Drosophila melanogaster: one gene and its partners. The protein of the gene in region 1 interacts with the protein of each later gene in a pairwise test. Each region holds a gene or a part of one and is shown in the gene's direction. Other genes may lie near its edges.

Region 1 (4,685 bases):
ATTAGAGGCTTGGGCAAAACTTGGGCCTTACTAAAAAAAATTAATAATAATATTGTAATATTTGTGCCTGTTCGATATTCCACGTCGGCCTTTGATGTTGTGCGAATTGTGTGGAGCAAAGAAAAATTTAATAATGTCTTAATATCCAAGCAGCGATACTGATTACCAAACGAACAAGAAACAGAAATAGTTGCCTTGAAGTTTACTAGTTTTTGAATGCTATAAATTGCCTTAAATACGCCTTGCATGCCTCTTAATGTTAAACGTACTAATGTAATATTAAAAAATGAATTCAAATAAAAGGAAAAACATAAAACCCTGGCTTGAACTTGAGATATTTCATCATGTGGACAACATTTTTCATCAACGTTTTGAATTCGTTTATTTTTGGTTTGTTATTTCGGTTAGTTAGTTAGTGGCTAGTTGAATATTTATTCTGATTTTAGTGCGCGAGTGAATAATTTGTAGTTTCCAATATAAAAGGAACCAAATAAAGTTGGCAATGTGCAATACGTGTTTGTTTATATTATTTAAATTATATACAACTTACGTTTTAAATAATCGTTACGGAACTAGTTCAGTTCGCACGCTATCGATAGCTGAGAGTTCTGCCAGTGACATCGCTAACTGCGTTAGTTGCCCACCGCTATTGTTTTTCATCCTATCAACATGAGTGCCGTGAACGATCCGCTGGAACTTTTGACGAACAAGGGCACCCACGAGCCTTCTTTCCTCTCGCCGATATGGAATCCGATTGCCTGCGGTGTGGCCGGCGTGGGCGCGGCCATTTTCATCAACTGGGGCTTCCGTAAGCCCGTGTTTTCCGGTGAGTTTTCGCCCCGCTTCCATGTGACGTAACGATTGTTTTTGTCGCCTATAACTAACTAAATCGCAACGTATTCCAGGCATCCAGAAGCACATCGCCTTCGGAGCTATCGGCGTCGGCGCAGGAGCTTATTTCGATCAGAAGAGGAACGAGTACCTGGCCAAAAGGGACGCCGTCCTCCGGCACTACATCGAACTGCATCCCGACGATTTCCCGGTGAAGGGTAAGTGCGGCATGGATGCAAGCTAACCATTACTTACCGTTTTTGCCCCTTCCAGAACGCAAGACCTATGGCCAAGTGCTGGAGAGTTGGGTGCCAGTGCGCTAAGTGGATCTAAATCTTTGTTGTCAAACGAACGATGGAAGTAGTTAATAAAACAGCTTTAATTGTAAAACATATGAACACGAAAATGGAGCAAATGGATTGGGCATTCTATGGTTTTTTATTCGAAAGGAATTGCATGCATATTATGGACTTACAGCATATTGGCATAATGTTATGGTTTAAATTGATGGAATGTACCTAGGGCTTACATTTTTCGCAACTATTTAGTTTTGAAATAAATTTGTTAAGCTATGTTTTGGTTTGAGTCTCAGCTAGCGATTAGCGCACTTCTGTACCTGAAATTGGTGCGCGATACCCGGGAGTTATCGATTGCTCCAACGGTCCAAGTGCCATCTCCAGAAAGAGGCTTTGGCGAGCAAACGCTCTTTTGTCGCGGTGAAAAACGGATCGAACTTTTGGTAGGATGTGTCTGCGCAAAAAGTTTGTCCGCGAATAAATTACCATTTTTGAATAGCAGCCAGGAAGCTGAAAGAACGCGCTAAAAAATCAATAAAAAAATTCGAAATCCAACCAGCCAGAGATTGGATTTAAATATATATACACAAAAAATCTCTATGAAATAAACAACGTAATTTTAAGCCCAGTTTGTGTGCGTGTGTGCGTCTTCGTTTTACCGTTACAATTTACGAAAACCGAAATAAAGTGTAATCAGTGAAAAATAAATGCCAACACTAATAGTCAAACACAGCGAAACGAATTATTGTTAATTAATTGGCATTATAAGATTGTTTTTTTTTTCGACCCAGTAAAAGGTTAAGCAACTGAAAGTTTGGCGAAAGTTCACCGTCGGCTCAGTTCACCTGCAAATTTTCTTATCATCAGCAAACAACGATTATGGCGAAGGTAAGAAAAAGCCGAGCTCTTAATTTTATTACCAACTTATTTATTTATGAACAGATGCTGGTCTTTTCTCTTCCACGGCAAATGTTTGTCAATTTGGTTTTTATTTCATTGCTTGTGTGTGGGTGGGTGGTTCCTGCGGGTGGATACGTTTGTATGAATTATGCATGTTCAGTGCGGATTCGCATTGATTTCCCTGGATTGCGGCGAATCGATTCCCCAGCAACCGTTACTTTATGATGTGTAAAATTGAACGGGCATCGCATTTTTGTGTAGCCATAAAAACCGTTATGCCAAAAGGTGCTCCCCGTGCGGTGGATACGGGGCGGGGGAGTGGGCAGAGTTTCGGGTTCCGTCGTAAAAGAAACATAGAACATAGAATAGAAGTAAGCACTTGAATAACAGAGTAAACAGGGTAGTAAAGTTTGAAATGATAACTGCGCTTAACTTCATTCTAGAATTTTGCTACTAACAAACATGTTTTGGTATGGTATTTAAAAGGATTTGTAATATTTTTAGAAAATTGTAAATATTTTAAAGCAGCGTTAGTCTTGTTCCATTGAATGAAATATATATTAGTTAGAAAATTTCTCTCTTAAATGCCGCATCTTACATAACAGCTCTCATATTTTCTCAGCTGGCGACATCTCTGCTCTTTTAAACACTTTACTATCCTCTTCATCAGGCTAATGAGCGAGTTTTCCAAGTACTTGCCACCCACTCCGCCCGGAAAAGCGGAAAATTCCGCTTATGGCCCAATCTGCACGCTATTACGACATAGGGCATAAAAAGCCAAGGAGCCCTCAATCCCAATCAAGGGATTAAAGCTCCGTCCGCAGAACGTCGAAGGAGTGAAGCCATTTCTCACTGGCCAGCTGCTTTTTTCGTGGCCGAAATGAGGCACATTATTCTCGAGGTTCTTGGCTCGATATGTGCAGTTCGAGCCAATTTGGCAATACATTTTTTATCACCCACCACGTGTGGGAATCGGGAGTGGGTGGATGGTTATGGGTGACTCTGGGTGGTGTGCCCATCCAACCACTGTCGCGTGTCTGCTTGAAGAACTTTCGCTCGTGACAGGTTTGTTTTGCTCTTGATAAATTACCTTGCCACTTGTCGCTCAACATGAAATTACTTTGCTCTATCTTAAAGTTTTCCACTTTTACTCAACCATCCAGCTCTCTCCATTTTCCTCCCTTCGTTGGCTGGCTATGAAATTTTGATTTGCACGCCCATGTGGCCAAATGTCCCCAAGTCAAGTTCAGACTTTACAATCGAGATTCTCGAGGCACTGAGTTAACCAGAGGTACTACTATTATTACGTGCTTAGTACGAAGTGCCCAGCATTGGGCACTTTACTACAAATTGTCCTTGAGTGGTTTTCCCAGACGGGTAAATACTATGCTCAAGCAAGGATATAAAATCCTCAAAAATCGTAAAAAAATTCACTGATATGTGATATAAAAGTCTCATTTTCCGCACTGAAACGAAAGTTTTGAATTAAATATATTTCCATAAAACAATTTCACTTTTAATTCAATCAGAATGCCCTATCGTAATGTCTACAGGGTACATCCGAAATATATGTACTATTATATCCTTCAATGACTAAGGTTTTACTTTTTTGCCTTTGCCTTTTTCCGCGACAGCCTCATAATCATCAGAGTTCTTGCCGCCCACTTTTCCCCCACTTTTCATCCATTCTGTCGTCTTGCCATGACCCCTATATCATTATGTGCAGCCTGTAGCACTATTATATTCCTCTCATACAATTGTCGACAGGGGGGCGCCTCCTATATACACTTTTTTTCGTGTCAACAGCAGCAGGCGCAACCGCAGGACCTGCCTGCAAGTGCAAGGATAACGGGGCGAAACTAACAATAAGTTGAAGCAATTTTTCTTTTAGACGTACATGTTGTTGCTACCACCCACTTATGCGGAAAAGATGAAGAAAAACAGCATGAAAATTCGCTCATGAAAGGCTAAGGGTGATTATTTCGAGAAAAGCTTCGGATATACATTTAGTTACATAAATTGAAAACTATTGAGATTCATGTTCTGCACTTCAAACTAGACCTTAAAGGTATCTGAAATACTACAGCAAAGTAGAATTCGCTATGGGAATAGTATAAACCATAAATTTATACTCTTGTAATGGCATCAGTTTTCCAGTTTGTAGCATCTGTTTCAATACGAAGAGCTTATCCACTCCTCTACGTTTCCCCAGAATCTTCTCATATATATATATGTATACTATTCCCTCTAGCTGATCCACTATTGGCTTGCCATTTATGATTTATGCTGGCGGCGGTGGCATTTGTGTATTGACTCAACGAGAAATGCGTTGCATGCCACCAAAAAGGGCTTCTGGCATCCATTGCGAATCGCAATTTTCCATTTATTTATGACTGCGTTTGCAGCATGAAAATGTATGGATACCGCTTTTCCTTTACGCCCACATATTGAAATACATCTGTTGGAATTTGCATTGGTATATATTCGCATTAAACAAACAGGTGAACCTTATGTCGATATAATATATGCTAATTCGCAACATCATCGGTTTCGGTTTTGTTTGCTCTGCTGGATGATTGGGAAATTGTTAATTAATAAAAAAATTAATGGGAAATGCTACCATTAATTTTTGTCAACCGACAAACGTATGGATTAATT
Region 2 (3,299 bases), on another chromosome or scaffold:
TGGCACCATAGCAAACGGCGTTGACCTGGAGAAAGATTGATGGTTGTTAGTTGATATCATAAGGGGGTCCTTTGCTAGAGGAAATGTCGACCGAATATTCTTTGTCGAGCGCGCAGGATAAGAGCGCTGCCCAACATACACACATCAGCAGCTTTGCTGTTCCCAATCATAGTCACAGGTGCCCGTGGGGATTGCAGGCACCTGCCGGCTTAATATCATGGGGTACTACTTCGCAAACGGCAACTGGATGTCAAACTTACCGAACTGTCCTTCATAATAATGCGCTTGTGGTTGACCAGCAGACCTTCTAGCGGCTTGATCACACGTCGCAGCATAGACTCGTCCTTGTGGTTTTCGTACAGCCACATGGCGTCCAAAACATCGTGCATGGTCACCATACCATCGCGCTCAGACTGAATGCCCGAGCGGACACGGCGGAGCTCCAGCATCTGGCCACCGACACCCAGTACGAGACCAAGATGGACGCACATGGTACGGATGTAGGAGCCGGCCTCGCAACTAACCCAAAAAACACCTGAGCACGTGAGTGGGCAGAATTGGAGGAGAGAAAAAGACGAGGTTTTAACAATTACATTGTGCATTTGCTGTGTTAGGCAAATACTGGTGTTTCACTGGCTGAAGCAGGCTGCACCTCTGCAGGATAAACTAATCCAGCAGCGACGCACCAACTCTGAGCGAGAATGGATAAACAAAACTTCTGACTTACCCATATTTCGGGTTTCATCGTAGTCCAACAGCTTGCTGTCGTAGACAGTACGAACGCGCAACTGACGCTTTACGGCGGAGATGAGTGGAGGTCTCTGGAAGAGGGCACCACGCAGCTTCTCCAGGCCCTGACGCACCTTGGCCACCGACTCCACGGCTCCGTGCAGCTTGAAGATGGCCACGTACTCCTTGCCGGCGCTCTGCTGGGACTTCACCAGACGGGTGGCCCTGTCAATACAAACAATCAGGCAACCTGTAGGAAAAAAAAACACGCGGCACACAATGAGGTTAGGTTTGTATGGCGGTAGGCGAGCACGCGCTTCACTTACCCGTGACTTTGGGATCCAGCGTGCCGGAGTGGCCTGTCTTCTCCACCTTGAGGATTTTCTTGATCCAGGCCACCACCTCGTGGGAGCTGGGGTTCGACGGCTTGTCCAGGTTGATGAAGCCAGTCTTCATGTACTCTTTGATGTCGCGGTTCAGGGGCGACGATCCGTGCGCCAGCGGAGTGTAGTGGTTGGAACGGATGTTCAACTTGTCGAAGTTCTTCAGGAGCAGCGGCCATTGCGAGGTGTCCAGCTCGGCGATCTTGGAGGAGGGCTTGATTTGGAAGTTGCCCTGCTTCTGCAGCGTGCCAATGTCATCGCCGTCCAAGGGCTCCTCCTTGATCTTCTTCTTTTTCTTCTCCTTGCGTACTTCTGCGGGCGCATAGTCCGTTTATTTGGGCACTCTTTTAATTCATCACTTGCCAGACTTACCCACGTCGGCCATTTTATCTACGTTTTCTGCTAAATCAACTAATAGACGGAGAGAAACCTCCGCACGTGTTGCGCGCTGCGAGAAAATGGACGAAAAACACGTGGAGTGCGCGGTCTATCGATAAGTGTGACTACACAGAAATGTATTTCATGAAGACATCGATACATAAATGGAAATCTTGCGATATGTCATCGTGAGCCGAATTCCTTATTACAATTTTGAATTAAAAATATGTATTATTCATAAACAAAATGAATTTAAAGGTATTTACTTTGACGTAAACATTTTTAATCCATTAAAGCATTATTTAATTGAAAAGATATGTTATGTAAAACTGATACACTGTTTATAGTACGGTGAAAATGTTATGTCCTTAGAATCCACTTGTTTTTGCGATGAAAAGTCATACTACCCTACTTTTTAACTGACGCGTGCAAGCTGATTGCATTTGGCGGGATTTTGAAAATCAGAAACTGCTGAGTAAAAAATATCGAAATATTGATAGTTCCAGGCCCAATCGATACTATCGCCAGTGATCTACCAGCTGTGTTTCCCAACCGGTTGTTTATTTTTCTAAACTCTTAAATTAAATTAAAGTAATGTCGAGGCGAGGACTCCTACTAATGGGCCAGTGCATGCCCTGCATCAAGCAGAACGCCTCCAAGATCCGCATTCGCCGAATGGAGCTGGACAAGAACCTGAATATGGTGTGCATAATATACATTAGATCTCGCCTCAGGAGATTTCACACAATTTCCCTTCTGCTCGCAGTACTTTAAGAAGGACGAGTTCTACTTCGCCCACGATCCGCAGAAGGTGTGCAAGACCGGGGACGTGGTCCTGATACGGGAACTGCCAGAGCGCCTCACCCGCCTCATCACGCACAACGTGGAAAAAGTGGTCTATCCGCTGGGTGACATAACGGACCCGCTCACTGGCAAGAAGGTGGTCGTGGGCAATTACCGCGAGGACATCGAGATGGCCAACCAGCTGTTCGGCAAGTCAGAGAAGGCCTTCGACTACGAGAAGGCACCGCCCCGCGGTCGCCTGGAGGGAACCAAGGACTTCACCCACGGGGAAACATACATCAAGTACCACGAGGATGGCAAGGATCAGCCGTTCGCCGTTTAGAGCTCTGCCGGTCGTTTATCTGTTAAGTTTCCCCTTTGTTTAATAGTAAAGTGCATTAATATGACGTACATATGTTTCTCGGTTTTCTTATAAAATGGTTAGGCCGACGAAAGAAGATATTTTTATAGGTTTTTGATTGCTTGAATTGAATTAAAAAGGCAGGTTTAAAAGATTTCTCTACATATTTTATTTTAATGGTCGATAGTTGTTTTTTTTTTTTTGCATTTATTGATGATTTGTTGTGTATACGTATAAATGTATGCATTTTCAACTTCCTCTCGCTGATCAACAGTTTTTGATTATTTAATTTTTGAATTTTCCTAATTCAAACGATTTTTCCGCGCCAGGTGCCAGGACACATCCGCAACACCGAAACGTGCTGCACACGCACATGGTTTTAGAGTTCAGATTCGGTCCGTGCCATAAATTAAGCTGAATACTAATCACAATCTCTTACGATCCTAAAGTTGTACTGGAGTATGGGGTTTGCCGGGTGAGCGTTGTCGTCGCACAGTTTTTGCTGCAACGAAAAGGAGGCTAGAGTCGCTGGATTTCGCGTTAATGCGTCCGGATAACGCACCTGCTCCAGGTCGTGGCTGGCGCGGAGCATAAACTCCCGTAGGAAGTAGCCGCGGGCGGGAAGATCCAGGGCCAGGCTCAGTTTGTTCTTGCCCTGCTGCTTG
Region 3 (3,335 bases), about 10 Mb from region 1:
ATCCCGGTGGCAAGGATTCGGTTCACATAAGTGTGGTGGTGCAAAAGGATATGGAAAGGATTTCCCTCATCGACAGCAACTTCTTTGCAATAGTCTGCCTTATAGCCATGGGTTTTCTCAGCATGTCGATTCTATTTTCGTTGGTAACATGCCTAATATTTAAGAGATTCAAGCAGTTCCATCCCGGCCAGCACACTTATTTGCAACCCACTAGTTTGCCCGTTCAGTCACCTGGCAGTGAAGAAGCCACCGCCATCAGCGCCCTAAGTTCTGGAGTTATAAGGGAAAGTAAAATAGTGCTGGATCCATTAAGTGCTATCAATGAACCATCAAATAAAAATTACACTTTATTTAAAACATCCAATTCGAATGGCAGCGAGTATATGCACACGAGAAATTATAAAGACGTGAGATTAAACAGCAACACATATACTGAAAATCTAGACAATCAGGCGGAATCCATTTCATCGCGGAATCGGGAGCTCTATTCAAATATAGCTGGTGACCGGGAAAAGGAAGAGCTCAAACAGAAAGGCAATAAAATGCCAAATAAAATTAGTGCTCAAATTTTAACTTATTCTTGTTTTTCTCCTACTTAGATGAGCTCGATAAGGATTCCCGGCAGAGTTCCTTGCAATCAACAGGCTGCTCAAGAAAGAAGGGACAAATCGATGAACTCCAACCGGACCTTTTGCCTTCCACTCAACCTACTGCCTTAAAAAATATTAATGAAACTTTCGGTCCATCAGCGAAAAAAGCAGAAGTTAATCCCCGAAGCAAGTACAATACCAATGTGCAAAAGTACCTAAAGGAGAAGTACGGCAGTGTTAGAATAAAGAATATCAGTACTAAAGAACCCATTACTGGTGTTGATATCTCAATATAATATATTAATGTTTTATAATATGGCATTTCCCACCATACACAGCTGCGAATCCACCGTAAACCCCATGCCATTGAAATTTTAGTCTTTGCCAGGATTTCAATTCATATCCAGCCCTACCTCTCTAAGACCTCCAGGAGATAGATGGACAAAGGAGATCCAGTCAAGAAGAAATATACCTCGCCTTATTTCTGGTAGTAAATTATGTATTTTAAAACGTTACTAATATATAAAAATATTTATTTACACAGTTCTAAGTGTTTTAACCCACGCACTTTAAGTGAAAGGAATGTAATAATAAAGTTTTAAGTGATGCCTTTAAATGAAAAATGTGTAGCTTACTTGAATTAATCTTATATTATCATCGAATTCTAAAAAGCATTTTTAGTAAATCGTTTGATTTTATTTACCTGACCCACTTTTACCGTACTCTACGTTCTATCATCCCTGACCTACCCCGAATTCATTCTTGTGTGTGCTACAATTCCCAACTGCTTCTGGCCGTTTGCTCATGGAGACCCTTTTCGTTTTCCGTTTCAAGTTATCGCTTCTCGGCCTTATGGCTAAGATCAAAGTGTAGTATCTGTTCTTATCAGCTTAACATCTGATAGTTCCTCCATTGGAGGACAACAAATGTTAAACTGATTTTTGGAATCAGACGGAGTGCTAGGGGCTTGCTCCACCTCTGTCGCGGGTTGGCCCGGTATTGCAGTACCGCCGGGATTTCGGCCCAACTGAATAATAAATATTTAACTATTATAAAATCAAAAGGATCTACTTGTCAACACAGTAGACTTTCAAAAGTTGCTAGTATCTGTCTATCTGTCTAGTTTCTTATCAAAATTATGTCGTTTTGGCAAGCCTGATTACCTACCACAATGACTGCGCCATTTACCTCGCGTACCAACCAGGCCGCCGATTCCGGCAAAGATCAATCTCCCATCCATGGATTGAGCCGGAATCGAAAGCGTCAGGAGAGGCGAAAGCAGCGCCTGCAGGAAATGCAAGATTTGCTGTACACGAAACACTTTTCCAACTACAGACTGCCGGCATCGGTGGCCGCGCCAGCTCCCGAGGATCAGCTGCTCCTCAAACTGCAGAACTTCGAATCGCTGACCGAGCAGCCGTCCAGCAGCAGGAAGAGCACTGCGACCACATCTAGCGATTCGCCGTGGAGCCGACTGCGCCTGGTGGCATGCCCATGTCACGGATGCCTATGCTCGGTTGACCCCAGCGCTCTGTTGGGTCACTATTTGAGTGACCATCTGCCGGGAATGGGAGTTCCGTTTTATGAACTGGAAATGGGCAAGCGAGTGTCACTAACATGTCATATTAGTAGCCTGGAAAGAGATGTCAACACCCTGCTGGGGGTCTATGGCTATCGGCGCACTGGCCTTAATCCTCTGAAATGTCACCGAAACACCCATCTGCCAGTGGAGTACCGCCGCTTCTCGCAGCATAGCGCCCTTATGATCTTCGCCTGCCGCACCATGCACTCGGTGCTGTGGGAAAGGAAGCGTGTCAAACACGAAGTCCTGGCCATCTGGGTGGCTACTCCTTTGCACGGCGTGGCCATCACTCTGCGCCTGCTGGTCCAACCTGCCAACCTGCCACGTTACTACACCAGACAGATAAAAGCTCGTCCAATGCTGCCACTGTCGTCGAACCAATCCTGCAGTGAGTTCATCAAGACCGACAGCAACGTGATCCTCATCAGCTTGAATGACCTCCGGCCACTAATGGATTTAGATGTTTGGCAGCAATCGCTAACCGTCGAACTGAAAGTGATTAGCGAGGCAAGTATATAAAACTTCCGGTTTTTTTTTTTTTTGGAATTCGCAATATTTTTGGCCATGTATTTAAGTCTAAGATTAAACAAGGAAACATAAAACTTGAACTCGCACTTACTATATGCATTAATAAATTAGGACAAAGTATCAGAGATTACATTTGATAAAAGCAGCTACTTCCTGATCCAGGCATCCTACTTCCGTTGCTGAATATATATACATACAAGTCGTACAAGGCTTTTCAATTCGGCAACAGTTTGGATAACATGCTATTCGTACAATTTTGTTGTTCCTCACACTTACATCGTACTTTAAAGGGAATTTACAAATTTTGAGCTTACATACATAAAATTTAGATTTTAAATATTCTACGTTAATGTGTTAGAAATATATAATTATGTGTATAACCTTATATCATTAAGGCGCATGTGCAGATATTCTAAAATTGTACTAGAAATCGAGAGAGCGGTGCGCTGAATCCTCAGGCAGCGTCGCTTCGCTTTTTACGCAACAAAAAATTAAAGCGCCATCATCAGGGGACGACATACTAAACAAGACAAACTAAATAAAACAAACTAAAAGAACGCAACTAGAAAATAAAAAACATCCGTCTAGTGTGAGAGGTCGGAATCTGGTTCCGGCTAGCCGGCCTTTTGGGTCTG

Evidence for each region.
Region 2: the proteins of toc (region 1) and mRpS17 interact in a two-hybrid assay, tested with the Drosophila melanogaster proteins (one large-scale study listed by BioGRID).
Region 3: the proteins of toc (region 1) and CG15482 interact in a two-hybrid assay, tested with the Drosophila melanogaster proteins (one large-scale study listed by BioGRID).

The regions. Positions count from the first base shown.
Region 1 is NT_033779.5:3,141,669-3,146,353, reverse strand, and holds the start of toc (toucan), read left to right. Parts: upstream 1-1,567; 5' UTR 1,568-2,006; coding exon 2,007-2,015; intron 2,016-4,685. Other genes in the region: ND-B14.5B (NADH dehydrogenase (ubiquinone) B14.5 B subunit), read left to right, coding at 670-826, 906-1,049, 1,105-1,154.
Region 2 is NT_033778.4:24,173,153-24,176,451, reverse strand, and holds mRpS17 (mitochondrial ribosomal protein S17), read left to right. Parts: upstream 1-2,010; 5' UTR 2,011-2,084; coding exon 2,085-2,192; intron 2,193-2,256; coding exon 2,257-2,616; 3' UTR 2,617-2,787; downstream 2,788-3,299. Other genes in the region: Nop60B (nucleolar protein at 60B), read right to left, coding at 1-25, 261-535, 728-979, 1,056-1,424, 1,485-1,497; CG3328 (uncharacterized protein), read right to left, coding at 3,056-3,136, 3,197-3,299.
Region 3 is NT_033779.5:13,210,208-13,213,542, reverse strand, and holds CG15482 (uncharacterized protein), read left to right. Parts: upstream 1-1,728; 5' UTR 1,729-1,761; coding exon 1,762-2,691; 3' UTR 2,692-2,770; downstream 2,771-3,335. Other genes in the region: kek4 (kekkon 4), read left to right, coding at 1-534, 600-886; Pect (phosphoethanolamine cytidylyltransferase), read right to left, coding at 3,315-3,335.